3 linked regions of the Struthio camelus genome follow. The main gene of each other region encodes a partner of the protein of the gene in region 3 in a complex. Links are inferred from orthologs where the notes say so. Each region holds a gene or a part of one and is shown on either strand. Other genes may lie near its edges.

Region 1 (10,342 bases), on a different chromosome or scaffold from region 3:
AGTATCAGTCTCTGGCGTAAACCAATGAATTCTGTTTCAGAGCTGACAGGTTGTAAGGCCCTATGCCACGGCGAGCAGTGTATGGGATGTGGATGAACTAACTCAGGGTTGTTGCAGCTGAACCTCTCACAAACTATCATACCCAAGCATAGCTAGAAAATATTTGACCCAGCCCCCTTCTGCCCTCTTACTCGGAAATCTTCAGTCTGACTGAGGCGTGAAAGAGCATGTCCAGCCTAACACGTGCCCAGTGGTACTCAAGTAGGGGGGAAGACAGCTACTGGGTCATGGAGGGAAAGTCACAGAAAAGAAGGGGCGAGCACCAAATCTCCAAGGTTTTCACAGTAAGACCCTTGTTCTGGGTGTGAGTCCCAGGCACACGGCAGCTAGGATGGCTGTTGGCACTGCAGGCTGCTCTGCAGTGGCATCGGGGAAGGCCTCTGGCTGGCAGGGCACGGCTCCGAGTGAGCTGAGAAGCTCAATGCTCTCTTACAGAGTGCACTGCCCGACTTCCAAACAGCGTCTACAGGCCTTGAAGACCTTCTTGGGTAGGTCAGCATTTTCTTTTATGAGAAAGAAACAGAGAGGGCAGGCAAGCAGCTTTCCTGAGTAACAACCTCTGCAGGAGAAGTTAGTTATTTCATATCTCATTTAATAGCAGTACTTTCAGCTGATATGCTGACTCCTTCCCCTCCCCCCACCCCAATTTCCAATTGTGCAAACTCACTTTGATGTAAAATTCACTCCACTGCAGCAGACACAACTTAGGCTGCCTCACGCTGGGATCATTTGTGCACATCTGGGGAAAGCACCATCTGAGGAAACTAGTTTGCCCGGCTCCCTTGCTGTTGATTCAATGTGGAGCTGAGCAGGGGCACAATATGTCCTGGTGCCCACGGCAGCTCCGACTGCTCTAACACACCTCACATGAAGCACACACATGAAGTGCAGAAGTTGCCTCAAGTTTCAGAGCAGAGGAGAGGTCCTGGGGCAGGGGCTGGAGACGCTGGCACCAGAATTTAAAATGACTCATTCCAGAGAGGAGCTAACAGGATCCAGCCCTTCGCTCTGTGGTGCGCTTGTCCACACTAAAACCTAAGGTGACACAGCTGCTGTTAGCTAAAGGGCCAATGCCTGACCCAAACCATTTGAAATGAAGTCAGAAGCTTAAATGCTCTAACAAGCCGGTGGAGGAAAGCTTAAGCTTTCCAGCACAGCGCTGCAGACTGAGCTCTCGCCCCGCCTGGCAGGTGACTGCTCCAGAGCGATGTTGCTGCGTCACACCTTTGTCACTTTTCTAGAGCTGCTACAAGAAAGCTCACGGGCTGGAAAGCGCCGTCACAGCAAAAGAACAGACATCCTTAACGTTATTTGAGATTATTCCCTGGCGTAGGGTCAGGCGAGCAATTTCTGCTTAAATCAGAGATTGATTTCTAATGAACTAGCTTTTCCATAGATGTTCTCCAAAAATGCCAGCCCTGCAAACCGTGTCAGCATAAGGCTCTCACCTGAAATCTCTGCTCTTCTACTCACTCAGCCAGGGGACAAGTGCTATCCACCGTTCCTGTCCATTAAAGAATCATCTTTAACAGGGGTCAGGAGCAAGGAAAAAGGTCTGAGAAAGTACCATATAAGCCCACTGAGGAAAAGATACATTTTCCTTCTCCCTTTGCCCACTGAACCCTGCTAAATGATCCAATCGAAAGACCTGAAAAGAGTGGATAGGAGGTTATTGTGGCAGCTGGAAAGATGTTTGTCTCTAGAAAATATCTGAAAAAACAAACGTTCCACAGACAATAGGCAGTGTTTCCATTATGTCAAAGCAACCTAGACTCTGTGGAACTGTCTATTTTAGCTTTACTGATTCTCTGAGGACGCTTATCTCCAACCACAGCCATAATAACCTTCCACCCGCCTAGCACAGATTTTGGAATCAGATAATCTTTTTGAAGCATTCTCCAATAGTTTCAAAACAGTGTTAAAAATTATGCACTTGGGGAAGCAGATCAGCTAATGTCAACAAGTAACTCGAGTAGTTTTACAAAGGTCCAGATAAAACAGATTATTTTTCTAAAACATATGGTTTGGCCTGAACAGAAATTGTGGACTTGCTGCAGACAATATTGGGTATTGGTCTTTGATCTTTTCTGCTTCAGAAGTCAGCTGGTCCTAACGGTCCCTTCTGGCCTTAAAAATCTATGGATCACATTAACAAAAGAAGCTGCTTTTTCTATACCTGAAATTCTAAGTGATAGAAGTGTATCCTTAAAATCGTAGGATTGCAAATCAAATGTATTTTGCTATTTGCTCTTTCCATCCGCATTTTTGAGAGCTGCAGTTCAAAACCAGTTGAACAAATAAGGACAGTCCTAATTCAGCTGGTTGTTTGTTTTGGAAACCATGGAGGAAAACCATGATCAGACTAAAAAAATGTCAAAGATATAATTTTAGATGGGGGTGGGGGGGGAAACAAGAAAGAAATGCTTTATTCTGGAACTTCTAACCTCTATAGAAATAGCTCTTGGGAACAATTTATGTGTCCAAAAGCTTTGATCAATGATATAAAATATCATGAGGGACCACTGTTCTGCAGTAGTGTAAGACTTTTGCCTTAGAAATCACGTCATGGATAAGTAAATACAGTCTTCCAATATAATTTTACAGATTTCACATATGACTGAAAGACGTAAATATCCTATGACTGCCTACCATGACACGCACAGTTATAGTATCACTGCAATCGTAGATAAAACTCTGCTTTCCTGATCAGATTGGATTTAAGCATATGCTTAAGTGGTCTGTTGAACAGAGACCTCGTTACTTCTGGAATAGAAATTACATTCATTACATAGGATTATGATAATTTTCAGTAACATTTATGTAATGAAGCCATCTCCATTTATTTAATGATTTCTATTAAGAGAACACTGATATAGCACATGATTATCCAATTTAAACAAGAAAATGCTTTATTTACTCTAGAAACAAATCTCTTTTAACATCCTCCCCCCCAAAAAATTTAGGAATATTTGCTTCGGTCTTAGGAAACATTGACATCTAAATCACTAGACACAGACTCACATTCCCTTTCAATATTTAAGGCATCAAAATGGAAGAAATAAAAGTTGTAATGACCTACTAAAATTGCTAATAAAACGAGCCATAGGATTTCAGAGGAATACAGAAATTTACACACATCTTCTCAAAAAAGAATTTCAATGCGTCATCGCAATTATAAAAATGAAATAATCAAAATAAAAAGCATTTTTGTGCCTCAGGTGATTTTGCATCTCAGGCGACTGCATATGTATTTGAGGAGTTCTATAAAAATAAGGTTAACTTATTTTTATCCTGCATCGGAGGCAGGGGAGGCTGAACTCTCTGTCCACGTTAACCTTGCATCCTGAAACTGCAGCTGGTAACAGCGAGCTAAGCAGCGGCCGCTGGAGGATGGGCTCACCTTGCCCCTCTGACCCAGCCCCGGCTCGCTGTACGCTGTTTCCCTAGGGGGAAGAGGAAGCAGTGCACCTTTTTGAGCCATACACCTTGGGTGAAATCCTGGCCTCGTTGAAGTAAACTCCCACCAGCTCGCACAAGGCGAGGCTTAACCTCTCTTTCTCCTACTACGACGCGCGCTACAGCGAAGCAGATCAACCGCAGAACGCCCTGGGCGAAACACGTCCCGTCCCGTCCCGTCCCGCCTCCTCCCGCCCCCCCCGGCTGCTGCGGACGGGGCAGCCCGGCACCTGCCCCGCTTCCGGCCGGCCCTCCGCCTCCTCCGCAGGGGCCGAGAGGCCGCCGAGGCCGGGCTGCCTGCCTGCGCCCTGCCGGCCGCGGCGCCCCGGCGTAGCCTGGAGGGCCCCTCGCGCCTTCAGCAACCACGGGACCACCGAGCGGCCCGACAGGAGGGGCCCTGCCCGCCTCCCGCTGCAGAGCGGGACACCTCCGTTTGCCGGGCGGCCAGGCAGAGCCCGACTGCCTCGGCGCGGGGGACTGCACCCCGCCTCAGGGCAGCAGGGCCGTACGCCTTCCTGCAGCAGCGGGCCCCTCGGCGCGCCCGGCCAGCCCCGGGGGGCCACTCACGTTCCACGTCGTGCAGCTTGGCCCTCTCCTCCTCCAGCTTGCCCTTCAGGCTCTCGGCCTCGTTCTTCAGCGACGCCAAGGTCTCGTTCTCCTGCAGCCCCTCGGTTGCCATCTTTGCAAAGGAAGCAGGGAGGGAGAAAAGGAGCGAGAGGCAGGGAGGAGGAGTTTGATCGCCTGGCTTCCAGGGATGCTGCTGAGGCTCCCGCTGCCTGAGCAGCTGAGCCGGACCGGACTCCCGCCCCCTGCCCACGCTGACGTCCAAGGCCAGAGCGGAGGCTCCGCTCGCCGTGCCGGCGGCCAGCGCCCGCCTGCGCGGCCCCTTCCCCCACCGCAGGCCCCGCCAGAGCGGGCAGCGCCGGCCCGGCCCGGCCCGGCCCGGCCCGGCCCGCGAGCTGGCCTCGCCTGGCTCCTGCCGCGGCTGCACCCACGCAGCCCGCGCGGCTGCAGGCTTCCACAGCAAATGGCTGCTGGGCAGCACAAGCCATTCGCACAGGCCGGCGGTTTCACTTCCCCACATAAACGTGCAAAAGAACACACAGGTTTCTGCTTGGAACCAAAATTGCTTTGTGCCAAGAGGTTGCACACGCTGTGGGGGAAGGAGGAAAAAAACCTTATCCTTTATAAACCTCAAGGCATTTTAAAATGTCACACTGGGAAGACAGGTCCTGTCCAGGCTTAGCAAGTCACAACTCAGTCCGTCCTTCCCTCACACCCGACAGGTAGGGGCTGACCAGGACGCTCAGGTACCCGGAAGGTCTCTGACCCAGACCCTGTCCCAGTACGACAGACGTGGTGGTGTGAACTCTTCTCTCTACTAGGCTTTGAAGCCCTTGTTTTTAAATCATCTGCTATCACTTTTTCTCTTTTTTTTCTTTTTTCTTTTTTTATTTAACCAATTGCCTCTTTACCCTGCACACAGATATATGCACGTTAGGGTCTGCAGCCTTGAAATGGGCCAGTATTAAACATCCAAACAGAATGAGGAATCCTTCACTTTGGTGTTAGCATGAACCCGGAGCAGCGCTCCAGCTCTGGCTGCATGCAGTCACGTCATGACCGCTGGGCGCGCTGGGCAGCTCACGTTTCTAGAGACTGAGCCCGCAGCAAATGGACCTGCAGCTTTTTGTTCCCTGGAAGGGGAGTTCCTTGAAAAAGTCCTCTTCTTTTTATAGTAATTGTCCTTGATCTACATGGAGTAATTCTGCTAATATTGACTCCCATTGTCTCCCTTTAGCCAGAAAATAGACAACCCAAAAGCCTATTGTTCAACCTGGAGACGTTCCCAGAGCAGAAAGTGAGATATGAAAATAAGCATTTGCAGCTGTTGTTTAGACTCTGGGCACATCCTGGACACAGTACCGGGTCCCGGAGAAAATCAAGTCCTTTCCCACACTGGGTTTAGCAGTAGTGCCACTGTCAGCTGGGATGCACAGCAGAGCTCCTGAGCTTTTCAGTGTGCAGGCTGAATTCAAGCCTTGGTCTGATCTTGTGCTTTCTTAGTCAATGTATCTGCAAACAGGAGCTGGGTTATTTACCTGGAGAGTCAAAAGCAGTGGATACATTTCCAGTCTTCATATTGTCCACAGAAACTGGTATGACTTAACCACGTCAGCCTGATGGCTGTGTAGGCAACCCTGAACTTATTTTGATCCAATTATGTTCAGTATCACAAAAGAAAAAAGCGATAGTGTAATCTATAGAGTTCACATACTGCTAAATATGGCAACATTCTCCAACGCAAACAGCACTTTGCAAATCTTCTCTAACGCACTGGCAGTGCCAAAGAAGTAAAAATTCAGTATCCTCTAACTCAGGCCAGAACAACAAAAAAAGCATCATGAAGCAGGAAAATGTCAGGAAGCTCCTAGCATGTTATCTTCATGTCTGAAAAATTAAATCCGTTTACATTAAATTCCATAATGTAGCTTTTCTGTGTCCTAAGGGCGTGGCAGGGGAAGATTTTGAAGAAGAAATGTGATTTTTTGAAGGAGTTTCATCTATGATGAACATCCTACTTCTGACACCTGATAAGCGTGAAGAGATCCAGAAGTCAAATCCAACAGAATCTATGAGAATTTTATTTGCCTTAATAGGAACCCATCAGCTCTAAGGAATTTGTCGCTGTGATAATGTTTGTATGTCAGATGGCTGGCACAGTAATGACAGTGAAAGGTCCAGACTTTCTTGCTTTACTGATGTGAGCAGTCTCACTGCCTTGGGGAATGGCATTAAAAAGTTCTGTGAAGAAGGATATAGAAGGTGTGAGTCTTTGGAAACCACACGTGTTCAGACTGAGCCTTGATATCAGTCCCAAGATGACAGGGATGAACAGAACCATGAGATGAAAGGGAAGTCTCTACTGAACAGAGTGAATCTTAAAAGTGTGTGACATATAACATACATTTCATTGGTCTGAGTAAAATAGAAAGTATTTAGTTCACCTAACCAGCTGCTTAACTACCAATGCAGTCATTAGCTAACCATGCAAAAACTACAGGTGAGAGCAAGGCCATTTGGGAGCTTTAAATAAAATGAACCAGGCTTGGATTAATTTAGAGAATAATATAGTACCAGGGCAACTACCAAAAAAAAAAAAAAAAAAAGGTAGAGCAAGAATGTTACCATTTAGTAAACAATGCTTAAATCAAGCTTTTTTGTTTCTCCCTTTTCATAAAATCTAATCATGCTCAAGGCAATGTACTTTTAACAATGCATGAGCAATTACTCAAAATAGTAATTATAAATACTGAATAACTTGTGAACACAATGTTAGAATTCATTATGCTGAAGATGGTTTAATCTGAAATGGCAGATCCACCTGCAGCAGTGGATAAAATATAGTTCCTCTTAACTTGGACTCTGCAGAGTGCTTTGAGATGGGTTTCAAAACAGGTCAGCGCAGGCCAAATGTCTGTGAAATCGTCCTCTGCAGGAGGTATGGTATGTGGACTCTATGGGAAAGAGGTAAGTAACTGAACTGTGCTATATAATGATACCATCCATTAACAATGCAATAACAACTGGTGCATAAAAGTGTTTGTTGCTGCGGCCTTATACTGACCACCAGCGTTCCCTGGAAAACTGACGGCTTCCAAACTAGCTGCTATGTCCTCAATGGCAATGAGCCTCCAAGCTTCCCAAAACAAGGACAGCTTCTTATAAGATGCCTTTTGTCTCTGATCACTCCCAACAAAGCAAAGGCAAGCTGACTCTTGGCTTCATATATTTTGAGAATAATCATCAATTGCAACCACTCTGGAGTAGTCAGCTTTCTACACAGCATTACTCTGTGGAGCTGCTACAGAAGAAAAAGCACTCTATCACCAAGAATTGTGGCAAAACCAAGAGTTACTGCAATTGTAAACTACCTTTCAAACCTGACAAACAAACCAGATTGCAGTGACTGGGAAGCATGCAAGAAAGTTGGTACTGTTCTATTATTAAGGACATAAGGGAAAAAGGAGGGTGCGACACAACAGTGCGACACAAATTGTTGCCCATCTCAAAAGGCAGGTTTAAAAAGTTTTCAGTCTCACTAATTCACCAGCTAATCTGTTGTAGGATAATTTACTAATACTTTCTGTGGATATTAAAACAGCAAACGCTTACTGACTGCATTAGCGTTTCTACTGATTAGCATCTATCTCCAAAACTGGTAAAACTCCAAAGGAAAAAGATGATTTTGTCTAAAAGGCAACTCATCGAAGCAAGACAATCTCAAAACTGGGACGTGAATTCCTGAAGCATGCGTTGGTTTGGGGGAAATCACAAGAACTGCCTGATAAAAATGCATATGTGCAGCTGAGTCCCACCTGCATCTGAAATTAAGAGTTACCTGTGGAATCAAGTAGTTGCAGAAGGACCAGCCCACTACACATTATACTATGCACATGCATTCACAAACACCCGCAAAGGCACGGCAAGGACATATTGCGCATTTTGATACTAGTAGCCAAAGCATACTCACAGCTCTGAAAGGCTAGTTCCAGAAGGTGAAGGACCTAACTTCCCTACCTATATGCATTTCAGTGCTAATGCAAAGAGATCTTTAAGTATTTGTTTTAAAATCTCTTTTTCAAAATAAATATGAAGGAGAAAGCTGAAGCCAGACCTACCAGAAAGTCCAAGATACTATTTTGGTGCTAACAGGAAGCCTAACAGACTGTTAGACGCTGAGGTAATTCTTCCTGAGCCCTCTTTTTCTTCCACTCAATAGCTGCTTCTGTTGGTAGAAGCCTACCTTCTATAACATGGAAGGCAGAGAAAGGAAAGAGGAGAAAGCTGCAGGAACTGTAAACAACAAAGTTTCCTGCAATTCCAGTATGCATTTATCAAGTCACGCAAAAATTTACTGGATACATAGCTATTTATAGGCTGTTGGCCAAGAAGGACCTGAACAAAACAGTAGTTTCAAAGTCAAGAGAAGCAAATGAATAGAGAAGGGACTGTCTTTTGTCTTGCAGTCGTTTTATCTAAATTTCCTTCTAAACAATGTAACATATGAGAACGTGCTGTGTCAGTCACTGAACTGTACACATTGCACCATTTATGACCACCAAATCAGTGCTCTCATCTGCCCATCGTACAATGTTTTCTAAACACAGCTGGTTAAACCTTTCAATATTCCTGCAGAGATCATTTGATCTGACACTCAAATGCAACAAACTGTTGGACACTGCTCAGTAACAGTACAGACCGGTTCCGGGGAGGAAGCAATGAAGGATGTCTTCTCTAACTGATAATACACAATGGTTCAGGAAGAATAAAATTACTCCAAGTTGGAGTATAACCAGGACAAAAACATTCCTAAGTCTACAAAAGGAGTTTTGGAGACCAGCTCTTCAGTGGCCACGCAGGTTCATGACCTTAGCTTTGTATTTCATCTAAAAAACAGTGACCTCACTGGGACAGTGTTCCCTGCCAGAAGAGTGGGATATTGCCTCACCAGTAATTGTTGGAGCTTAGAAAGCCTCCAGCATATCTCTATCTCGTGCAGGTATTCTAGTAGGACATGTCGGTCAGGTTAGCAGGTTTGCTAATATTCCCCATTACCACCTTCTTGGGTGGTCCACAGACATGTAAACAGAAGAGCCTGATCTACCATGCAACAGCCTCTTCCTGCATTATCTTCATTGCAGATACCTCCTGCTCTCAAAGATCCCTCACCCAGCTACTGCACATGGCATGCAAGACAACATGGTCTCAGTATGACATGCAGACTCTGAAGGAATTCCGAGAGCACATGAACAGGCCCAGTTTTACTGAGCTAGCCTAAACCAACTTTATAGCCCCTAGTCTCGAGTTAATCAGTTTATTGCCATGGTTTCATCTTGTGTTAAGTTCTGTTGAAGGTAACGGGCAACACTCAAGATCACAGGCCCAGCATTTACTTCAGGGCAGAGTTAGCTAGGCATGTAACATTTACGCAGCAGTACCCTAGGGGGAAAAGCTTGTGGTCATTTTGCAGTCAGGAATCAAAAAGGTATCACTGAGCACAGAGCCCCCTCTGTTCCAGGCTCAGGGAATTAACATCAGGTGCTTACAATCAGGTTTATTTGGATTAGAAGCAGGCAACCTTTCTGCCTACTGAAGCCTGTTTGCTGCCCAGAAAAATCCAACAAAACAGAATATTGATACGTCAACCCCTATTTTTATCAGTATTTTCACATTCTCACTGATAAAATCAACAACGTACCATTTCCACACATAGCGAGCAGAAGCTGAGTTGTTCTGATTTGATGTAAACAGGCCTAAGTGGTTTCTCTTTGGAGCACTTGTCACACGGACCAAATACAATCGCTAGAAAGGTCTGGTCGCACATCTTTGCGGTGTGGTAGGGCTGAAAGAGACAAAGAAGAAAGCAAGCATGCATTCCAGTCTAATGCAAAGCTTCCTGGTGTTTCTTGGGAAATGCATCTTAGACTGCCTATAGACATCTGTAGGCTGGATAATCTCTCTCTGAGACTAATCATTAAAGCTTGATGAACTGTGACTATATGCAAGACAGTCACAAGCATATGCTCCGAAGATTTTATTTTTATCAAGAAAAGTAGGTGGGAGAACTTTTTGTTATAACGTGCAGCATTAATTCACTACGTGCAAGAATTAACTCTTAGTTTTTACTTAACTGATGCCAGCAGACTGTAACCAGACAATACATAACAATGAGCTAGATTTCTGAGAAGTCAGCACTGATAAATATTTACTGTTTTCCCATTGCATTATTATACAGTCAATAGTATGTATTATTTTTAAAACT
Region 2 (10,331 bases), on a different chromosome or scaffold from region 3:
ACTCTTCCATCAAGAAAAGTAGTGTATGAATGTCTCTTGCCCTAGCATATTATGCAATAAACCTCATGCCAGTGAAGAAGAAGGTACATAAACTGTTAGAGGAATATTAAAGGACCATGCACTATACTATCAATGATCTCATGCCAGACTATTAAATGGAAGGAGCATGCTAATGCTTCAGTTTACACGCTCCTAACAGATGGCTCAGAGACATTTTGTTGGGAGAATCAACATAGCTTTTTCAAAAGATGGAGACTAATACATACCACTTTTTACCATATGGGCCTTAAACAGGAATTGCAGATTTAAACCACTGTCTCACTCAAAACCAGATGGCAAAGTGAAATAAAACCTATTTTGAGAGGCATCTTAGCATGATTAATACTAATGTTCTAATGACTCCATTTGATTTTTCATTTGATTTTACGTTTTTATATTTGAATCCATTTCTTCTTTTAGGAACTCACACTGAGGCTTGGGCTGCCTAATTGTGCCCTACTGAGTATGGAAAATATTCTGCAAATATTTAAGCAAATTGGGATTAAAAAAAACATCCTACGAGTCTTCAAGGAGGTTTATTTGATTTTCAATATTTTCTATACAGCTGTAAAGTTACTTTTTTTCCCCAAAATCCCAAATAATAGTTTCCTGTGAACTTTTACTACAAGGCCACCTTCCATGCAACGTACCTCAGACAAGGAGCACAGAAACCATCACTTGGCCTTGCCAAAGCAAGCATATGGGTACTACTTCTACCTCCTTCCTTATACAGTGACCTAAAACATATTGCCTCATTTCTTAGAAATGCTTACCATACCTGGTTTCATCTCTGGTTTTGATACAGCAAAACTTAGTTTTGTCTTAACTCTTAAGTAGCTTCAAAATCAAAATATTTGAAGCAGCGCTTCAAATTTGCTGTGTGTCTCATTGCAAGAGCTTCTAAATGAAGAAAGGATCTCCAAACCTAGGCATGCTTAGTGGATGTCCCTGAAAGCATTTGATTTACAACAGGTTAATTAGTATACTTTGTCAAGTGATTCCCATATGGTAAAGAGAGGCCGGGAAGACCACGAAGTAAAGGACTTTGTACCAGGACCAGGAGGACCTCTACTGGTTGGCTTGTGTGACCAGTTGGCTTGTCCTCCAAAATGGTCCTGGCACCTTGCGTGCACTGGACAGAGCTACTACAGTGGAAAACATCACCAAGATGCTTTCTGCATCACAGGATCTTGGCACAGAGCTGAGGTTGAAGCTTTAGATTCTGTTGCTTAAGACCTGCTCTTGTTTTGACTGAAGTCAACAGCAAAGCTTCTTTGAGTTAAGCTTTATATGAAGATCTAAGTTCTCAGATAGGCTGGGGGTGGGGCAGCAGTCTCCAATCAGCTGGCAGTGCTTGAGGTTAAGTAAACGTATACCCAACAAGATAATGCCATGCTACAGTAGCATTCATCTGCACCCAGAAGTTCATCACCCGTAAAACACTGCTTTGCAAAAACTATGAGAAGTTTCCTGAACTTTTCTATGACCAGACTATGGTCCAGAGAAGTTCAGAAACGCAATTCCTCTTGATTTTTGCTCGAGAGGAATTCACCACCACCTTCAACATGACGTCATTTTACCCTAATCCTACCAGCCTCCACAAGTGTGGAAATTGTACCATTCTGTAGGGAGATAAGGAGCCACTTTCTAATCAACAGATTTCCCCCCACCCCCCGCAAGGATGCATAACTGCATTCATACCTGTTTGATCCCACTGGATTTCAGATGAAGCCAAGAAAACCAATGCTCATATAGGTGACTGCCTGGCCACCTAGGTCCACTGAAATCCATTCAGTTTTGCTGTGTTCTTGTCTATATTCACCCACCACTGCATCCCACTACAGAACAAAATCAGTGCTCATCTCTTATTCCCTGGAAAATACTGACTACCTTAGGGCAGTGGACAATCCTCAATAAACAGAATTATCCACGACCCCCACTACAAAAGTTCTGGCGCAAAAATACAAAATCCCGCCCAAAGAGTAAGTACAACCCATCCACTACAAGTTCTTTGCTGCTAAAATAACAGGACATGAGACTGGGCCTTTTCATATCCTCCTCTTCACTAGTCGCAGCCCAGTGGCTAAATCCTGGGGGTAACAGTAGTAAAAAACAAGCACCTTTACATATGCCAGGCACCAACTATACAAGAGGGCCATAATAGTTTTGGGGGGAGGGGGGAGTCCCTATAGACAATACCTTAAGAAAATCCTTCCTATTACCAGTTTAGGCTGTAACCATATGCAGTATGGTAGAACTGCATAACATACATTTACCTACAGATACATCGACCAGGCTTGAGCCCCCCTCAGCAGATGTGCTCTGGAGATCAACAACTGCAGTTTACAGTACAATAATATTGTTTCCCAGCTGGTTAAAGTCATAGCTGGGGTTACGCCAGTTTTAATTATGCAGTGTAGTAAGAAACGTTTGCCGATGCGTTATCTTCCTCTTACAATCAGAAATAAACTAAAACCGGCAACTCCTGCTCTCCTCTCCCCACAGGAGCACATTAGCAACATAACCCACATGCACACCTTTTCCAGTGAGAGCAATTAAAGAACATAGCGTTTTACAGACTAAAATAAAAGCAATTCTTTCACTGAGCAACAGCTCCCCAAGACACACCAAGGTAAAGCTCAACAGGAAGGCCATACCCCAAGGAAAGCCTTGTGCCCCCTGTGGCGACACTGAGCAGCCAGTCTGGAGAGGGCCGATCAGGTCACTCCAGAGACACAGCTCACCCCCTCTGAAAGGGGCTCAGAAGTGGAAACGCCATTCAACCCGCTTCCGAAGAGGAAACGGAGAGAGAGGAGCGCAACTCTTACCTGAATTCGGGGAACAGGTTTGGTCGTAGTCCATAGAAAGCTGCCGAGAGAGTCACTAACCAGCCGGGTTTGTAATTCCCATTCTCACACTCCAGGAAAGGTGACGACCACCTGATGTGGTTCTTATCAGCAGTGAAGCTCTCTCGCCTCTTCCAGCTGTTCTCCAAAGTTTTGGGGCCCGTGTTTAGGGCCTTCCTGTGCAGATGCGGCCTCCACTTGCGCTTCAAGCTGTGGAACCACTCGGTCTCCACGGAGGCGTTCGCCAGGCGGTGAGCCGAGGAGGACAAGTCTTGCAGGAGGATCTGGCTCTCGTGCCTGCTGGCCTGCAGGAAAACTTGGGGGGTGGAGGAGAAAGGCTCCGTGCTGAAAGTGATAGCTGCCTTGGAGATGTTGGGGTCCCCCTCCAGGAGGCTCCTGATCAAGGCTTGGTACCACTCCAGGTCCTCCTGGAAGTTCTGCTCCCGCGACTTATTGCTCTGGAGGATCATGTTGAGGAAGTTGGTGGCGTGGGTGAGGGTGTCCAGGGCGCCGTGCAAGGAGGGGTGCGAGGCGAAGCGCGACTTGCCGGCCAGGCTGGCCAGCTCGTACCTGCCAGAGCAGTTGGCACGCCGCAGCTCCCGCGAGTCACCCGTGTAGAGGAACGAGGCCACGTCCTGGGGCACCTCCTCGGCCAGCCGCTGCGCCAAGATGGTGCTCTCCGTGGAGCGGCTCCGCGGAGCCGGGGGAGGATCCCGGCTCTTGATGTGGTTGTGAACAGGCTGCTTCCCTCGAAGTGCCCGCTCTCGGCCGTGCCCCGCCTGCCCTTGGCCGGCGGCGGCCCCCAGCCCCGGCTGGGCGAGGAGCAAGAGGAGAAGGAGCCGGAGCAAAGCCATGTCCCCCGGCGCTCTGGTCGCGCAGGCAGGGCGAAGTCACTCAAGATGGGCTGTGCATATGCAGCCGCGGCGCAGCGGAGCCAACGCGCACAGCAGCAGCTGAGCGGCGGTCGCAGGGCGGAAAACAACCCGCAGCGCCCGCGTCACCTGTGGCGGGGCCGCCGCCGGCCCTGCCCGGCGCGGCGCGGCTCGCAGCCCCTGCGCCGGCAGCAGCAGCAGCCGCCGCCCGGCGCCCGCGCGTGGCTCGGCTCGTCCCCGCCGCGGCCACCGCGCTCACTGAGGGGCCGCCGCGCGGCGCGCGCAGAGGCAGGGGCGGCGGCGCCCGCGCCCGGCGCAGCGGCGGATCCCCCCGCGGCGCCCCGCCGCCGCCCGCCCTCCGCCGCTCCGCATCCTCCCGGCGCCGCCGCCCGGGCAGGGGGCCGGCAGCGCGCCTCGGCCGTTACTCGCCGGCACGGGGGAGCGGGGGGGGGGGTGACCGGGGCGATGCGGGCAGCGCTGCTCTGGGCGCCCGCTCAAAAGAGCGCTGGGGTCGCCGAGCGGGACACGGACCCCCGCCCGGCCCGGGAGGGAGGCTGCCAGCCAGGGGGCTCCGCCACCGCCAGCCCCTCACTGCCGGGCGCCCCTTCCCCGCCGGCCCTTATAGGTGTACGCGAGGCAGCTGCCGCCCTGTGTGGCCGCCTCGCCTGTCAGTCAGCCGGCAGCCACTCACGGGGCGGGAGGAAGGCGCCGTACGGGGCGGAGGGAGGCGGTGCCACCGCCCGCAGGCGTCGAGGCACCTCGCTTCACCTGGCCCCGGCCCTGCCGAGCCACCCGCCACATCGGCAGCCGCTGCGCGCCGGGCCGCGGAGAGGCGCGGAGCGGAGTGGAGCCGGCTGGGCTGGGCTGCCCACCCACCCACCGGCCGCGGGGTCCCCGCTAGCCGCCCCGCGGCGCCGCGGCCCCGGCTCGCCCTGGGGGAGGGGAACAGCGACACCTGCCGGCCGGGCCGCGGCGGCGCGGTCAGCGGCGCCTACGTGCCGCGGGGGCCCGGCGGGAGCCGCGGGCGGCGGCCGCGGCGGTGCGGGGAGGAGGGGGGGGGGAACCGCGACGCTAAAAATCCCGGCGCCTCCCACTCCGCCCGGGAGGGACGGGAGAAGCCCACCGTTGGGCGGAAGGCAGCTACGGCTCGAGGCGAGGCGTGTGGGCTAGCTGCTGTCACGGGAGCGGCGCCTTGTCGCGCGGCGGGACTGTCCTTGGCGCCTGTGGCGGGGCCGGGGTGCAGGCCTCGGCCCCGCTCGCTCGCCCACCCGCCCCGGGACCGGCCTTGCGCTGTGAAGCAACAGCTTCAACTTCTGGGGGCTCAGAGCTCGCGGCCCTGATGGGAGTCTCAGCTCCAGCTCCGGCGGGTGCTGCCGCCTTTCTCGCCCACGTCGCGCGCAGCCCCACGCGGAAACGCCGTCCCGCAGCGCTACTCGCCCGCACGGAGCGTTGCCCCCTGTGCTTACAGCTGAACCGCTGCGGTGTCCCTTCATCTACAGTGAATGACCAGCTAATTGTATTTCTGTAACGCTGATCCTCCTTGCTTTCCGTGGTGTTTTGTCTTTTTTTTTTTTTTTAGCTCCGCAGTTCCAATTCCTACTTCTGTCTTCAAAATTAAGCACTTAATCCAGGGGTTTTCCGTGCTGTGACCAGCAGAGCACTTGCTCCTAGTCCAAGCAGACCTGACAGATCACCTAGCTATCGTGTTTTGCTGAAAAATTAGCCTTTGGAAAGACCCAAATGTATTGAGGGTGTAATTAAAATTAAAATTGTCCGTGTAAGCCATCAGTTATGGGGCTGTCGTGATCAGCTGAGCAAAGCGTTAAAGCACATGCTTAACTTTGTACATTTTCTCTGATGGAAGTATTTACCTGGTTGATATCTTATTATTGGATTAAGAATTGATGACAGGAGGCAGATTGCAAAGTGCAAATTTTTAAGGAGATCATCCACAACAAAATCACTTAAATACAGTTAATTTCATTGTGGCTTAATCTAAAACTCCCTTTCAGTATTGAAGAGTACAGATGAAAAGAGTAGTAGAGAATCGATTTTTTCCTCTCTCTCTCCCACACACGTGTGCGTGCACATCCTTTGAGCAGGTTTCAGTCATGCAGAATATTCGATCTAATTTTAAACCACTGACAAGATATGTGTGCTCCTTAAAGCATAGTCTTATTTTAGAATAATTTGAAACTATACTTAAAGGAAGAGTCTTTCTAATATAGCTAAATGTTAATTAAACCTGTAGTCCATATATCCTAGTAATGTAACACACTTCATCCTTGCTGTGGTTCACCTTTAACAATTATTTTCACCTAGGTTGTTGGTAAGGGAGAAAATTAGAAATATTTTAAATTTTTTTCTCATTGTATGCAATGAAAGATCATATTCACTGCTTAAGACTATTCACTTAATAATGAACTCTCATGCAAGTGAATATCCTTCAAGATTATTTAGAAACTGCATATACTGAGCAACTCGGAAACTGGTGTTTACACTTTAGCACAGCACAGGCAGTCAGTGCTTCAAAGTCTGCACTGAGCAAATACCTAAAGTTGCATTGTTCCGCTATGGATAAGTGAGAAACCGCTTTTGAAAGGAGCAGCTGTCAGGGCTCAGCTAAGCCAACATGGGATAAGTAGCATGGTGAGCTATCAATGGCAATGTAAATAAACAAGCATTTTTTTTAACAGTGCCTGTGCTGATTTCCCTTCCTGTCACAGACTGCTCTAAAGGAAAGGTCAGCTGCCTGATGGGCATTCACTTCTCCCATTGCACCCTGACTTATATCTCTGTAAATTGTGCTAGGCTTGCTAAATGGCCTACTTCACATCTTCTTTTGGCAACCAAATATCCCTTAATGTACGTACACAGTACGTTCATTCAGTCTGCTGATCTCTCCCAAATACCCTCCCCCAGCGGTATCCAGCCCCCTTTTCCTTCAGGGACAGCACAAAGGTTGTTCTTATCACAAAGGTTTGCCAGGAACAAGGAACCAAATGGGTTAGAGCATAACTCCTGCCACTGCGTTATCTGTCCTTCGTTTTCCTGTTCCCTCGGTTTGCAGCGGTTGGGTCTTCTGCCTTGCCAAGTCACAGAGGAGGATGAGAGGCTAGCTGGAGAACTTTCGCACTGACCGGGCCTGGCCTGTGGTTCTGCCTTGCAAAGCTGCATCACAGAGGGTTCAAGGAGCCTTCATCCTCTGCAGCTTCCTCCTACAGCCAGTTCAGACCTGCTCCCAGGTAGCTATTGCATGCAGGCCAAGGCCAAAACAAGATTCAAGCAGGTTTTAAGCCATTGCCAATGTGCACCTACTTACACCTTTGTAAAAAGTATGCTGCAGGAACCAAAGCATAGCATTCATTGCCCAGACCCAAGACATTGGCAATATGGAAAGATTGTGTCCTCTTAGATTATGAAAAACTACTAAAAAATTATTCACATGATATTACTAAGGAATGGGATGTAGGAACCTTAAATTATTTTTTATTATTTTAGTATTAAAATGCACTGATAAGTCTAGCCTGTCGTTTGTAATTGGTTGACTGTGTTAGAAATCTGTTCATGTGTGACTGTTCAATGTGAAAATGGACTTGGAGTCCTCGAGATACAGGATCACTGTGGCTGAATGATGTTTCCTGGGCTTCTGCCTCAGTTCTCCCACCAGCACTGCTTCAAGCCATCCAGCAATGAGGAATCAAGATGCATCTGATCACTGTCCTTCGCATTTCTGAATCATGACAACTATCACAAATGTTGCATGCAAAATAGCTGTAGATAAAGGGTGTTGATTGACTGTATTACCTGTCAGACTGTAAGTCTCCAATTAGCTCATGCCACATGAGCTCAGCCTGAGTCTAATTACGGTGTAGAAAAAATAGCATGTTAGTGGTTTTTAATAGTTCACAGTAACTGTAACCTTCTTTCTCCAAATTTTGACCTATACGTAAGACCTTAGTTTGTCTGAACTATTTGAAAGGTTAGAAGTGTCAGAACTGTTGCATTGTTAAGACCATTTGGAGCAAAGGAAAGACTATTTGTAGCTGTGAAATTAAAAAACTCAGATTTTTATTTATTTTTATCCTAAGCTATTTATTGAATATGCAGGGAGCATACGCAATAAAGTAAGAGCTGAAACTTTGAGAATAATACATTATATTCTTCTGGAAAAACAGAAATGTTTATTAAACTCATCACTTATGTATTAAAAATACATTAAATGTAAAGTTGGGCTTTTTAAAAAATAAAAGCACATTTACTTTTAGCTTTATTTCCTAAGGACATGATGTTCTGACAATCATATTTTTGTCTGTCTGTTGGGTCCCCCTGTCTGCCAGTAATTTCTAATGCCATTAGCTGATTTCAGCCAAATTTTACTAAAGTGTGAAGATCTCAAACTAAGTTTCTACAAATTTAGTGAAAATCACAAATGAATCAAAGAAAGAAGCTCAAGTTAGTTTTTGCACTCAGGGGAAAGTTGCAGAGTGAGTTTGACTGTTACATGTTCTCTTTGGCCTTTCATTTGACCACTCATATTAGCCAATAAACATAAATGTACCCTAAAACATCTACAGCTTGTTCTGCTTCCTCCCCACCCAGTAGACAAGGAACAGAGGATGTGGCTGAAGGCTAGGGAATTCAAAAAGACAAGGGAAAACTGGATAAAATGTTGGTAGTGGACACAGCACTGTGAGATTTTAATGTACAATGCATAGAGGATATGAGGGCTGGGAGAACTGCTAGGTTTATTGCAGTGGAGGGCTGGCATGATAGTGAACACAAATCCACTAGCCAGGCTTCATTAGTTCTGTTGCTTCCACTCACAAATGAATCAAAAGCACCACCCAGTTTTTTTCGGGAAAAAAAGAACTATGAAATAGCCAAAATGCAGAGTACAAAGGTTCTTGCTGGAAAACAATAAGAGCAGCAAGACCTTACCTGTCAACTACTGATCACGTAGAATGAGAACTTCAGAGCAATCAGTGTAGCTGATAGCCCTGTGAATGTATCATCTGTTCTTAGGACATGAAGAAAATTTCATTACAATCCCAGTAAAACACTTGCAAAGCTGAACTAGGCCAGATATGTTTACACACCAAATTAAAAATAAATTATGCATATTATCTATGAAATGGCAAATGATACTTCTATCAAAAACTCTTTTAAAAGTTTGTTTCCTTTGATATTTTCTCAGAAATGTTGGAATAGAAGGAACCACAAGGAGACTGCCTCGTGCAGCACTCCTGCGTGGAGGCAGGATGACATACGTCAAGACCATCCCTAGCAGACGTTTATCTACCTTTCTCTCAAAGAACTTCTGGTCCAGAGGACTCCACCGCTGCCCTACTTACCTTGTCCCAGGCTTTCATTGCCTTAGCATCAACTATGGGGTGAGGGCATTCCTGTAACATGGTCAAAGTCTTCTTTACTGTCTTTGGTTCTCTGCTTTCTTCGTGCAGCACAGGCACCACGCACTTGTGTCTATCTGCAAAAGATTGCTTTGACTTACTTCTTTTTCTCTTTTCCTTAGGGTAAATAAATCAAATTTCCTAACAGGCTCTGTTTTCTAAAACTGTCTCTGGTCCTGCGGTTGTCTCCTTGATGTTCTGTTTTGTTAGGCTATTTCTTTGGGTGTTCCAGGTAAGGCCTTCTGCTATAGAATAGTTACTTTCTGCAAGTTACATAAAATTCTCTGTTAACATACCGACTTTGAGATTTGCCTACTTTTTCACCTTCACTACAGTATTGACCAGTACTTGAGTGTGTAATCTACTGTAATTCTCATAACCTTTCAAAATGTGTTGCTTTCTAGTTATCCATTATCTGTTTTTATTTGAGGATTTGATGTCTCCTTCCTCTGGGTAGTACTTTGCACTTGTCTTTGTTGAATTTTCTTTTACTGACTTTGGACCATTTCTCTGATTTTTCAGGATTATCTTTAATTCCAGTCCTGTTCTTGAAAATGCTTTTAACTATCTCCTTGTCTGTTGTGGTGATTTGCTGATTTTATGAGCACACCCTTTATTTCATTATCCAATGTGTTCATTATTTGTTCATTAATATATTTAATAGAATGAAGCTGAGATCAGACCTCTGCAGAAAACTACCTGAAACATCCTCCCGGTTTGATAGTGCATGGCTAATACTTACTTTTTGAGAAAGACTTTTGAGGCAACTGCTTACCCACTTCATGACCCACCTACATAATACTTCCTTAGCTTGCTTATGAAAGCCTCATGCTAAATATGTAAGAAAAGTTACCGATGCAGACATACAGCGCAACTACTGTTTCGTCCCTATGAATGAGACCAGTTATGAGTCGAGGTGGAGAATTGAATTTGGTACGGACTTTTCTTGACAATTCACATTGGCCAATTTTAATCAATTTATTATTTTCTAGGTGATTACTACAAAGTAGTTTAATAGTTTTTTTCCAGATCTTTCCAGAGATCTTTATTGCATAAGCTTCATTTTCTTGCACTCTCTCTCTCCTCTTTTTCTGAAGATACGTGGGGTTTTTTTTCCCAGCTTCAGAGTCTTCCTCCTAGATACATAAACACCTAACTTCTAA
Region 3 (10,409 bases):
TTGTAGTGCTTCCGCGTCCCCCTTTCTCTAGTATGCTCGTGCCAGAGGAATTTAAATCTGTGACTTATTCCTAATCAGTCCTTAATAGGTGGCTGCTTCTATTTTGATCTGAGTAAACACAGTCCCGTGGATCAGGCCTGAGAAATTTTCTTTAGCGGGGAAGTGGAAGGGCTAGTTACCTGGTTTGTTGGAGTTTTTTATGGTTTTAGCCACAAAAAAGTTAACAAAAGGCTACATATTTGTAACATGAGGTTAATGTCAGACTGAATTAATATTATAGCTTGAGCTAAAAGAATTATAGCTAAATTTACAAAAGCACAATTGCCATGTTTTCTTCCCATACCTCATATACGGTTGTTCAGTAGTTGGGACGCTCCTATGTGAGGCACGCAACATCTCCTAAGATATGGATATAAATCTCTCATCTGTGCCTTCCAGGAGAGTGTTGTAAACACCAAGCACCAGGAGAAGCTGAGAGCAATCCACCCATATTTAAAATAGTTTATCTAGAGCAGAGACCAATGCCCCATTCCCCTGACTCTAGGTTCATTCTTTGTCAATAATGCTTTTACACAAAATTGAAAAGCTCTCAAAGAGCAGTTTTGAGATTTGGAGAGGATTCTGGTATGATCACATCTAAACTAGGTTCAAAAAACCATCTTTTTGCTGGAGGTCAGTTCTATTGTCACATGCTTACTTGATTTCATATCAGTAGGAGATATAGATATAAGATCAGGAAAAATTAATCTTCCGTTTTTCAGGCAGTTTTAAGGGAATATGGTGTAATATTTGTCATTCTGTGAGCACTTTCTGAGTAATTGAAGGTGTATGGCTGATTATGATAGTTATTTCTTTGGAAAGAATATTAGTGTTGATTGATATTGTATATCAGATAGCTAATTAACCTCTTTCTCTTTGAGAAAGACTGCCCTCTTTTGGCTCTAATTAGAACAGGTTAATTGTCAAGACTTAAAAGTGCAAGTACTTGAGGCTGCTCTCCCCTGTCTCTAGTAGAAGCTGTTTATCCCCATGGGTAGTCCTGGTGGCAGTGTATTGATATCAAATTGTAAGTAGCTGTGGATATTCTGTGGCAGTAATTAACGTCTTCAGTAGGATATGAAGTTAAAGTTTTATGTATATATAAATCATACTCTATATATACATAGATATACTCTCTCTATATATAGTGTGTGTATGTATATCGTACTTCAGAAAAGATTTTGGAAGTGTGCGCTCTCCTTATTTCTAATACTTTGCTATTCCTGTGAAATTATGTCTGTCCATGACACTCTAGGGTTTTTGTTTTTCTGTTTTATCGATTCACTTTACATTTTTTTCTCTTTCTACATAGGTTGCTATTTAATTACCTTTTCTTTTCTAAAACTCTACTTTTTGATGTTTTGACCTTTTACCCCAAAAAACAGAGCGCAAGTGTCTTTGATCTTCATCATCATAAATCACCAGAGGTAATTAAAGTTTCAATAAGGTTGGCAGGTATGTGAAAAAACAGATGTCTAGGGCTTAAAAAATGTGCCTTGAAGGAATGAGTGAAGTTTTTAAGACAGTCCTGGGTTTAGTTTTAGCAGTTATGTGCCATAACTTGTAATCTTCTAAATGACACTCAAAGACCTATATTAAATGGACGGATTACAGTTCAGTTCTGTAGGAGCAGGTTTTCAAATCTCATCAGAAAGGCTAAGGACTGAGCTTGGAATCTTAGTTACCAGTTCAGAGCTTGGCATTGAAATGCTGCTGTTATGTGGTATCACAAATATGTCCGATTAAAGTAGAAAGCCTAATTCTGTGCTTCACTAGCCTGGAGGAAAAAAGTCTGGGTTTTATACTTGAAGGCAGCACAGTAGTAACTCATGTCAGTGTCTGGAGCCTAATTAACTAGAATGTCTGTGTTATTTCAATAAATTTGAATGTGATTGTTTATAATTCTATAATGTTTTAAAGACTTGGTCATGGACCAGGACCATGCTGTGCTGAGAGCTTTCATAATGTGTCTTTACTCCAAGGAACACTCAGTGTAGGCATAAGACAAGAGGAATTTGATGGATATAGGCAGCATATTAACATAGTATAACAGCACTGGTTAGTAGGACTTTTCAAGACTGAAAAATTCCCTCTTCCACATCCAGACAGGTTGTCCTACATATCCAGAAATAATATTCTGATTTAAAACTGCATGCCCATGTGTTACGTATGGCACACGCATATGATGTTCTTGGAATACTTTAGCTGTATTGACTGTGCAAACTAAATGCAAAAAGTGTAGTTACCAGCTTGCTAAATCATATGTGTTTTATGGCCTTGTTAGATAAAACTGCCCCTTGGCAGCCTTTGCTATCTTCTTTGTTTTATTAATGAGTAGTTTTGCTTTGCGTTTTGAAACAGGACATTCCTCTTTTGGCAGGCCCTGCTTTCTGGGGAAGCTAATACTGGCTATGTATGAGATAAGCGATGATGACTCTCAAGCATGGGAAAGATACGTGACTAATTTATGAATCTTTATCTTTTTATAGGCTATTGAGTAGATTCTTCTAACTGCATCAGAATAAGTTATCAAATTATATTTTTTAAAAGAAATAATGAAACAGCTTTCTTTTCTCTTATATGGGTGGAAGCGGCCCAGTCCAGGGTCTGTTTCATTACAAAGCACCAGCAGAAAGAAATTCTATTGGGTTGTTTCTGGTGTGGGTTTGTTTTTTTTTTTTTTTCATGTTTAGCTATTGCAGAGGTTAGAGCTTCTGTCTCATTCTAATACTGGACATACTGGTGAAATGGAAGACTCCTTAGTGTGCTTCAGCATAGGAAGCCTGTAGTTATGAGACACGCCATTGGGATGTTTGAGCCTCTGGTTCTGAATACAAGATTAAAGACTGTGTGTGAAATCAGTTACCTTTATGTTAGTGGAAGAAACACCTATTGACTTCAGGAGGTCCAGATTGTTACTTTATCTGCGTACTTGACTGAATTTACTTTGTACCTTAATTTATGATGATCAATATTCAGTTAATAGCGGAAATATATTTATTTTCGAAAAAAAAATCAACTTTGCCTAACTAATGTAACATTTTGTATTTTACTTGATTTGTGAAATTAATCAGAATATTTAAAGCAAAAAAGTAAGATAATTTTAGAAGCTGTATAGCTAAAATCTTTACTCAGATACCTCTGCCTTTAGTTTTGAACAGATTCTCAGAAAGTAAAGAACTTGAAAATGCTGCTGCTTAAACTAATAAGCTTTGCTGGGGAGTTCTTCAAAGACACATAACCCCTGCCAAAATTCACTTGCTGCGTAGCTTATAGTAAATAGCTAGATTGAAGACATCTTGTAAAACATAAGCTACTTCTTGTACATACTCCAAGAACTGCAGTACAAAAGACTTTCCTTTTCTCTAGTTTTCTGACTTGAATTAGTAATAAGATGATGTAAAGTAAGAAAACAAACTTAGAACTATACTGGAAACTTGCTAACATTTGATTTCTGTGCCCTTTAATGCATATGCTATTTTAAGATACAGTCATTTTTGGCTGGCAGAGTAAATGGAAGGAATGTATATGTATCATCACTATTTTTAGTGATTTTCCTCCTACCCCACTTTTAGGGTAAAATTGCATTTAAAGCATATCTTGTGCAATCACCATTTCTGCTCTCGGAAAGAAATGTAAACCGCAGTCTGATAAATAAGACTTTGAGTTTGTTTTGGGGTCACACAGCTATAAGGCTGTGACTTATGTTCTTAACAGATCTTGAGAGGTATGTTCCCCTTGACTTCCAGTACGTCTGTCAGTCTCACATAGTCTGTAGTAAACGAGCACTGCAGTACTGCTTCCTTAGGAAATGTATGCAAAAGTTAGGGAAATATAGATCCACATTTTTATTGCTGGTACCCATTCTCAGTGGTGGACTGGACTGAATCACCAGAGTCTGCGCAAAAACCTTTTGAAAGTTAACATTTGGATTCAGATTCATTGCTTAGGTCTGTCAAAATGCTACCATACACTGAGTGGATTTTTCATGGGAAGCAAGCCTTTTCTCAGTTCTCTGTTTATTTTTTAGTTCCATATTTGTTTCTGCCTGCTATTTTCAACCTCAGTACTTCTTTTCCTTTACTTTCCTCTTGCACTGTCAAACTCTTTCATCTGTGTTGATCTCTCTTCCCTCTCAGAACTCCAGATTTCTCTTATATCCAGACTGTTTGATTCCACTTACCTTTTCCTTGTGACATACCAAATTATTCTCCACTGAAAAGGTCTAGACATGCACTTTCTGCTACAGAGCTTCTTTCCTTTACTGTCAATATATCCCACTCAATTCAATTGCTGGTTCTTACTCTGTTGGATCATTTCACCATTTACTTCTGCCCTCCCTCAAGGACGTTCCTGTCCACGTTTGAGATCATCTGTTGTCTCTAGTGCTCACTCTGGGACCTTTATCAAACCTCTGTCTTTCTCCACTTGCCAAGAAGTCCAATCATTCTCTCCCCCTTATTTTACATTGGCTTCTGGGGTTCACTGTCATCAGCTTGTCTAATTTATCATCTCCTCTGGTAAAGGATCTGAACGCCTCTGCAAAATTTGGAAAATGGTAGTTTTGATAGGTAACTTCTAGCAAGATAGAGTTGATTTGAGGTTTCTTTGGGATGTGAGGAAGGCAGAAAGAGCCTGAGACAGTACGTATGGAGACTTCTGAGCTTGAATTGCAGTGATTCTGCCAGGGCACGCTCCGTGAGGTGCAATGCATGGTAGAAGGTATTGTCCCCCAAAATGACTTCTTTTGCGAGATCATCCTTGTAATAAGAGTTACTGTTTCTAGAAAAGACACTTTCAAATGGGAATATCTGATGGCTTACCACTGAAGTATCTCCTGTTCTTGTGGATGTTGAGTTCAAGACATTTCAGCACTTCTGGAAAATCAAAGCATTCTTGTCCCTATACGGTGAGGAAGTATGATTTACATGCCTAATTTTTAATTTCATCATGGTAAGCTCCAGGCCGTGGCAAATTAAGCAGTTACTTGGGATGTAGCAAAACAGCCCCAAGGGTATCTAGAGAGCTCCTTCCTATCAGCCTGGAACAGACTTGCTCTCTGGTCTCTCTTTTCTACTGCTCAAAGTGGTCCGCAGTGCCAGCACGACTCAAGCTCTCTCGTTCTCCCTGGAAAAAAAAAAAAGAAAAACGTGAAATGTCCAGCGTAGGGCAGAGGAGCAGGCAGATTCCCTGCTGGTGTTGGTAAAAGGCGTAAAAACGAGGAGGAGACACACTTTCCACACCCGTCTCTTTTATCCCCCTCCCTCCGCCTCCTTCCCTATCCCATTAGCCCACATTCTCTTCCTGCCCAGTCCTCCAGTGCTGCCTAATCTCATTTACAGGGGCTGCTGCCAGATCTGCAGGCAGCTGCAGTTCCTTGGCCGCTGTTTTCGGTGAGCGAGCCGAGAGCGGCGAGCAGGAGCAGGAGGAGGAGGAGGGCTGCTGCGTGGCGGAGCGGCAGCAGCACCTTTGACGTGCCTGTCCCCCACGTGACAGCCGCTCCATTGCGGGGAGGGAGCTGAGCTGCCGCCGCTCCGGCAGAGCTGGGGGGAGCCGCAGCCTCGGCGGCGGCGGCGGCGGCAGCGCCTCCGCCCGCAGTGCGCGTGTGTCCGTGTGCGTGCGTGTGCCTGCGCGCGCGCGTGTGTGATGAGCGATCGCCGCGTCCCTCCGCCTGCTGCCGGCTGACACGGACGGCGCGGGGCGCGCCAGGAGCGGCGGGAGGAGGCGAGGAGCCGCGGCCACCGCGCAGTGACCTTGGCCCGGGAGGTAAATGAGCGGGGCGGGGAGCCCCGCGGTGAGCTCCGCGCCGCTCCGCGCCCCCGCCCGGCCGAGGAGAGGGCGCCGCCGGGAGCGCCCCGGGCGGCGCCGCCGCTGTCCGCGGTGCTGAAATCGCGGGAGCGGAGCCGCGCCGCGCCGCGCTGCCTGCGGGGCGAGCCGGTTCGCGCTGCCATTCGGTGCCGAGAGGCGCGCACTGCGCGTGCAGGGCAGGGCGAGCCGGCGTGGCGGGCACGCTGCAGTTAAGCCCGCAGCCTGGAGGCCTGGGGAGGGGGGGACAGGGGAGGGCTTCGGAGGAAATGTTTGGACGAGAGCTCAGCCTTCCAGGCTCTCCGCAGCCGCGCCGGTGTGGTCGGTGGATGGAGCACATTCTTACACCTGCGTGCAAAGCCGGAGCTACGGCATGATCTGAGCTCTTGCTTAGCGCAGCTCCCGTGTGACCGGGGGGAGGGCGGAGAGGAGCCGGGCCTGGCGGCGGAGCTGGTTTTTTGCAGTGAACTAGAATGAAAGTAGGTGAAAGCAACCAGCAAGATCTTCTAGCTTGTTTCTTCCCTTCCTTCCGTCTACCTGCCTGCCTCCCTCTTGGCATATGTGTAAGAGTACAGATATGCTGGCAAATAAAGTTCAAAGCAGCTGGTTTGCTTTTTGTGTGTTTGTGTGTTATGAAAGTCTCTATGACCTGAACCGTGAGGAGAGGACAGTGTTGAACACGGTCACGGGCCAAATCAGCCAGTTGAAAACTGTGGTTTGGAAGGTGCACAATATCCATTGGTGCAGCCTGTGTAGAGGAGGAAAGAGTGCTTTGTGACAAGATGCCTGCATGATACAGTGGTTAGTGGTATGTCAGGGAGCTATGTGGAGTGGCAATTCATTAAAGTCTAAATTAGATTAACGTTTTACATGCATTCATTATTTGCATGCAGAAGAGAGTAATAACAGTGAATAGTGAATAAGCTGCTTTGCCCCAGTGTAAATATGTGGTGAAGAAAGTATACACTGATTGTGATAACCTGTTAGTAGAAAGTCAGGTCCATTAATCAGCAGTGAAGGCAGGAGATCTGAGGTGGTGTCTTATGAAGACCACTTTTACCTTTCACAGTGCAACGTTCAAAAGCGGATCAAAATCGTGGGACATGGCGCAAGGAAATAATTATGGGCAAAGCAGCAATGGGGTGGCTGATGAATCCCCAAACATGCTGGTGTACAGAAAGGTAAGCCTTTGTGTTTTGCAAAATCTGAGGAAGGGACATCAGAAAATGGTTTAAGTCCTGAATCTTTTGCCTAGCAAGAAAGGCCATTATTTTTACTGTTTCTGTCCCCCTTCCTGAAGAGATGCTGCTGCTGTGCTTTACCATGAATGTAGAGATGTGATTTCAGAACATGATTATCTGATACAAATTTGGAACATTTTGTATCTGTTGATATATATGTTACTAATGCAATTTAAATGGCATGTGAAAAGTAGATCTGTATCTGAGTTACTTTATAGACTTCTTAAAAAAGAAATTATTGGATTTGTTGTTCTGAATGTTCTGATTGTTAAAGCACACATGCATGTGTCAACTTCACATCATGTTCAGCAACAGTTGGGTTTGAATTTGTTTAAACATTCTCTTATGTTATCTGAAATGTCTACACGATAACTCTCTTCTGTACTACTTGATGTATTTTATTCACTTTCTGCATTGATGCATATGGGATGCAATGGTGGTGGTGATGTATCAGAGACTGAAAAAGCATTTTGAGTTTTTGGGGTTTTTCTGTATGTTTTTTTAACAAGTCCTCCCTGGTAACATCTATCTTTAAAATGGATTCAAATATTTTAAAACTGAATATTAGCTACGTGTTACAATATCTTGTATTTCTTTGGATAGAGATTCTCAGAGTGCAGGAAAGTCGGCACCGTTAACTTGTTTCATATGAGGGGAAAAACAGATTAAAGGTATTACTTCTCTGCAATCACCAGAACTTAAGAAAAACCATGCACTCCCGGGATTCTCTCTGCAAAAGGATTTTTAATGTAGTTATTTTAGTAGCATCGATATACAAATTTCCAGACATTGAACTCCAGTAATGGGGTTTATTTAGCCACTGTGCTTTCATTTAAGTGACAGTAAATGCTTGGGGATTTTGAGGTGGGTTGATACTTTTTTTAAACTTGGCAGTTGTGTTTATTTTGATAAAACTTTAATTGCATTTATCAAAAAAGAATAACAAAATAAATTCTAGTGATAATGGAGAAAGATAACTACTCTTACAAACTGAAATATGTTATTATGTAACTACTTGTTTATTCCTAGAGTTCTGTGCTTTTTAACTTGTTTATGGTTGTTTTTATCAGGTGGAAAAATAATACTTATATTTTGTTAGAGGCATTGACTTTTATTTTTGCAAGTTAGCTGTAACAGAAAACATCTGATATATACTCAATTGAGTCTTAACACAACTTGGATAGTAAGACAAATTGATGTGAGGTGAACTGAGTTGTCGTCATTAATTGTGGTAAGTCTTTTTTCCCAGAAATTATAAAATTGTCTCTAATTGAAGTCTGATGTATGCTTCTGCTATTCCATGTTTTCAAATACGATGATGATTTCAGTGAATTCTAATGGTATTTGCTATTTTGAAAAATTAGGCCATCTTTATGGAAGTGATTAGAAAGGAATTTAATAACTTAACCTTTGTATCCGTATGTATAAGAATGCACATCTAGAATAATACGGGGTCATCTTGCCATTAACATCATGAGTGTGTTTCAAAATGAAATTTTGTGCATGAATGAATGGGTCAAAATATGCTGCATATTTAAACACAACATACCAAAACTTAGTTGTACATTTAAGGCTTTTGATCTTTCAAAACAGTTTTTATTTATCATTTTCTGTACTGAGAAGGAACCCTCTTCTTTACTACTTTAGTATACAGAGGAAGAATGTCGAGAAACTGTGTTTGTCTTCTCCTGTGGTATCGTGGTCTGAGGAGCTGGCCAAGCTTGTGACCCATTATGTTTAGTGTGAACTCATGCCCCAGTTTAACGTTGTCCCTGAGCAGCCTCCAGATTCAAAGGAAACTTTTGAGATAAGTGACATGAACCCTGATGAATCAGGGGAATTTTGAAACTGGGAGTGAGGGCAGGATACAAAACTCCAGCTGTATGCTTAGCAGGATCAGAGCATCAAACACCTTCTCACTTCTGCGGAGATCAAAGATACAGGGATGGTACCTGCTTGTGTCTTTCAGTTTAGCAAGGGCCCTTATTTTGTTGTCGTCATTCTTAAAGTGCAAGTGGTTTGCGGACTCTTACGTTTACGAAGAACGCTGACCTTCTACAATATTACCAGTAATATTTATTTTTATCGATCTTAACTTATTCCTATAGGAAGGTAAGACAAAAGGATCATTAAATATTGTGCAGACAGATGTTAGATTACTGGGAGAAAACTTTAAATACTTCTTCCTTTAGCACTATTTGAGGAATAGGCAACAAAATAATAGCTAACGTATTTAAAAGTCACCTACCTACCTTCTGGTACGGCTGTAATCAAACGTATTATAGCTTCTGTGTCTAGAACATAAGAAAAGATTAATTAGGTAGAAATCATTTCAATTCAGAATATATTATCTCTGAATATAGTTCTTTATTAGCAACAACTACATCACAAGATTTCTTGTAATACGTTTGAAAACACAATACTTCTCTATCTGTCATTGTGTTAGGAATGAAAGCTCTGTGCTGAGTGAACAAAGAACTAGATCTGTCAGCTTCGTGAAGGACTTTTTTTTTTTTTTTGGCCAATTGAAAAAATATTAATAGTTGTTAGTAAAAAAGTACGTAAATATGATATTGGCTGGCTTCAGAAGGAAACTAAATTTGAAATCTTAAATCTCATTGCTCAAATATACAAATGCTGAAATGCTTTCTCCCAGTGGTTTATACAACATCAACACATAAAGTAGCACACATTTTGTGGTAAATGTGCCTGGAAGGAATAGATAATGCTTGAAATCAGAAATCTGATCCAAATCTGTGTTATTACAAAGATTTAGGGTTTGCAAATTCAATATTTAAGGCTTGAATCATAGTCATTGCACTTTTTTAGGTTGAAAACTTTTGACAAGCAATGTTGTTCTTTCTTTCCTTTTTTTTTTTTTAAATATGTGGTTGATTTCTAGTTAATTTCTCATTCTGAGGATTGAAGAAAGTGGTTTGTCTGAAAAAAAAAGGAAGAAGACCTTGTAACCTAGGATGGTACAATATAGATAGCATTTTTTTCTCAAAGTAGCTCCTATTCATAGACAAAGAGGGTTTCATTGTGTTTTGCTTTCAGATCTGAAATATTTTTTAAAAATTCAGCATAAACTATTTTAATTAAATATTCAGTGCATAAATAACCAACTTATTTGATGGAAAAGACAGTAGTACAGATAAATAGCTCCTTATATCATTTTTACACTGCCTCTTAAGATGCTTGCATGTCAGTGTTGTTATGCCTTAGGGAATACTTTTTATTTTAATAGAGTGTCAGTTGCGTTATTCTTTTTTGACTATCAGCATAATTATTAAATAATGAAATATGACACATAGTTGGTGCTGA

The links.
Region 1: the proteins of RGS7 (region 3) and GNB5 are in contact, whole or in part, in a cryo-EM structure (PDB 7EWP), measured with the Homo sapiens proteins. The link is inferred for Struthio camelus from reciprocal best matches to the Homo sapiens genes RGS7 and GNB5. Residues at the interface, in NP_001351815.1 of Homo sapiens: Pro19, Leu22, Val23, Lys26, Val30, Ile72, Val76, Glu77, His80, Leu81, Leu84, His88, Val207, Asp213, Ile214, Lys215, Lys216, Leu258, Gln261, Ile262, Trp265, Gln266, Gln268, Leu269, Arg271, His272, Arg273, Leu274, Lys275, Met276; in NP_057278.2 of Homo sapiens: Leu57, Glu60, Ala61, Glu62, Leu64, Lys65, Leu68, Glu71, Lys74, Leu75, His76, Asp77, Val78, Glu79, Leu80, Val83, Leu90, Phe93, Arg98, Arg99, Leu109, Lys117, Arg118, Ser134, Phe135, Trp149, Met151, Leu167, Tyr197, Ser206.
Region 2: the proteins of RGS7 (region 3) and GPR158 are in contact, whole or in part, in a cryo-EM structure (PDB 7SHF), measured with the Homo sapiens proteins. The link is inferred for Struthio camelus from reciprocal best matches to the Homo sapiens genes RGS7 and GPR158. Residues at the interface, in NP_001351815.1 of Homo sapiens: Gln35, Ile43, Ser55, Arg109, Phe110, Thr112, Pro113, Tyr114, Phe115, Lys134, Thr136, Lys140, Ala141, Arg142, Leu143, Leu145, Ala146, Asp147, Ala150, Leu153, Gln157, Trp164, Phe168, Met169, Gln170, Glu172, Ala173, Gln174, Lys176, Val177; in NP_065803.2 of Homo sapiens: Leu507, Lys508, Phe510, Leu511, Arg513, Thr514, Tyr595, Tyr598, Ala599, Thr602, Val603, Pro604, Ile714, Arg715, Leu718, Lys719, Tyr722, Leu725, Glu726, Tyr728, Lys729, Arg730, Met733, Ile734, Thr735, Asn736, Asn737.

What each region holds. Positions count from the first base shown.
Region 1 is NC_090953.1:14,914,264-14,924,605, forward strand, and holds the start of GNB5 (guanine nucleotide-binding protein subunit beta-5), read right to left. Parts: upstream 4,417-10,342; 5' UTR 4,196-4,416; coding exon 4,084-4,195; intron 1-4,083. UniProt on the Homo sapiens protein: Enhances GTPase-activating protein (GAP) activity of regulator of G protein signaling (RGS) proteins, such as RGS7 and RGS9, hence involved in the termination of the signaling initiated by the G protein coupled receptors (GPCRs) by accelerating the GTP hydrolysis on the G-alpha subunits, thereby promoting their inactivation.
Region 2 is NC_090943.1:20,055,932-20,066,262, forward strand, and holds the start of GPR158 (metabotropic glycine receptor), read right to left. Parts: upstream 3,929-10,331; 5' UTR 3,740-3,928; coding exon 2,868-3,739; intron 1-2,867. UniProt on the Homo sapiens protein: Metabotropic receptor for glycine that controls synapse formation and function in the brain. Acts as an atypical G-protein coupled receptor that recruits and regulates the RGS7-GNB5 complex instead of activating G proteins.
Region 3 is NC_090944.1:97,341,344-97,351,752, reverse strand, and holds the start of RGS7 (regulator of G-protein signaling 7), read left to right. Parts: upstream 1-5,382; 5' UTR 5,383-5,432; exon of another isoform or gene 5,433-5,805; intron 5,806-6,913; 5' UTR 6,914-6,947; coding exon 6,948-7,025; intron 7,026-10,409. UniProt on the Homo sapiens protein: GTPase activator component of the RGS7-GNB5 complex that regulates G protein-coupled receptor signaling cascades.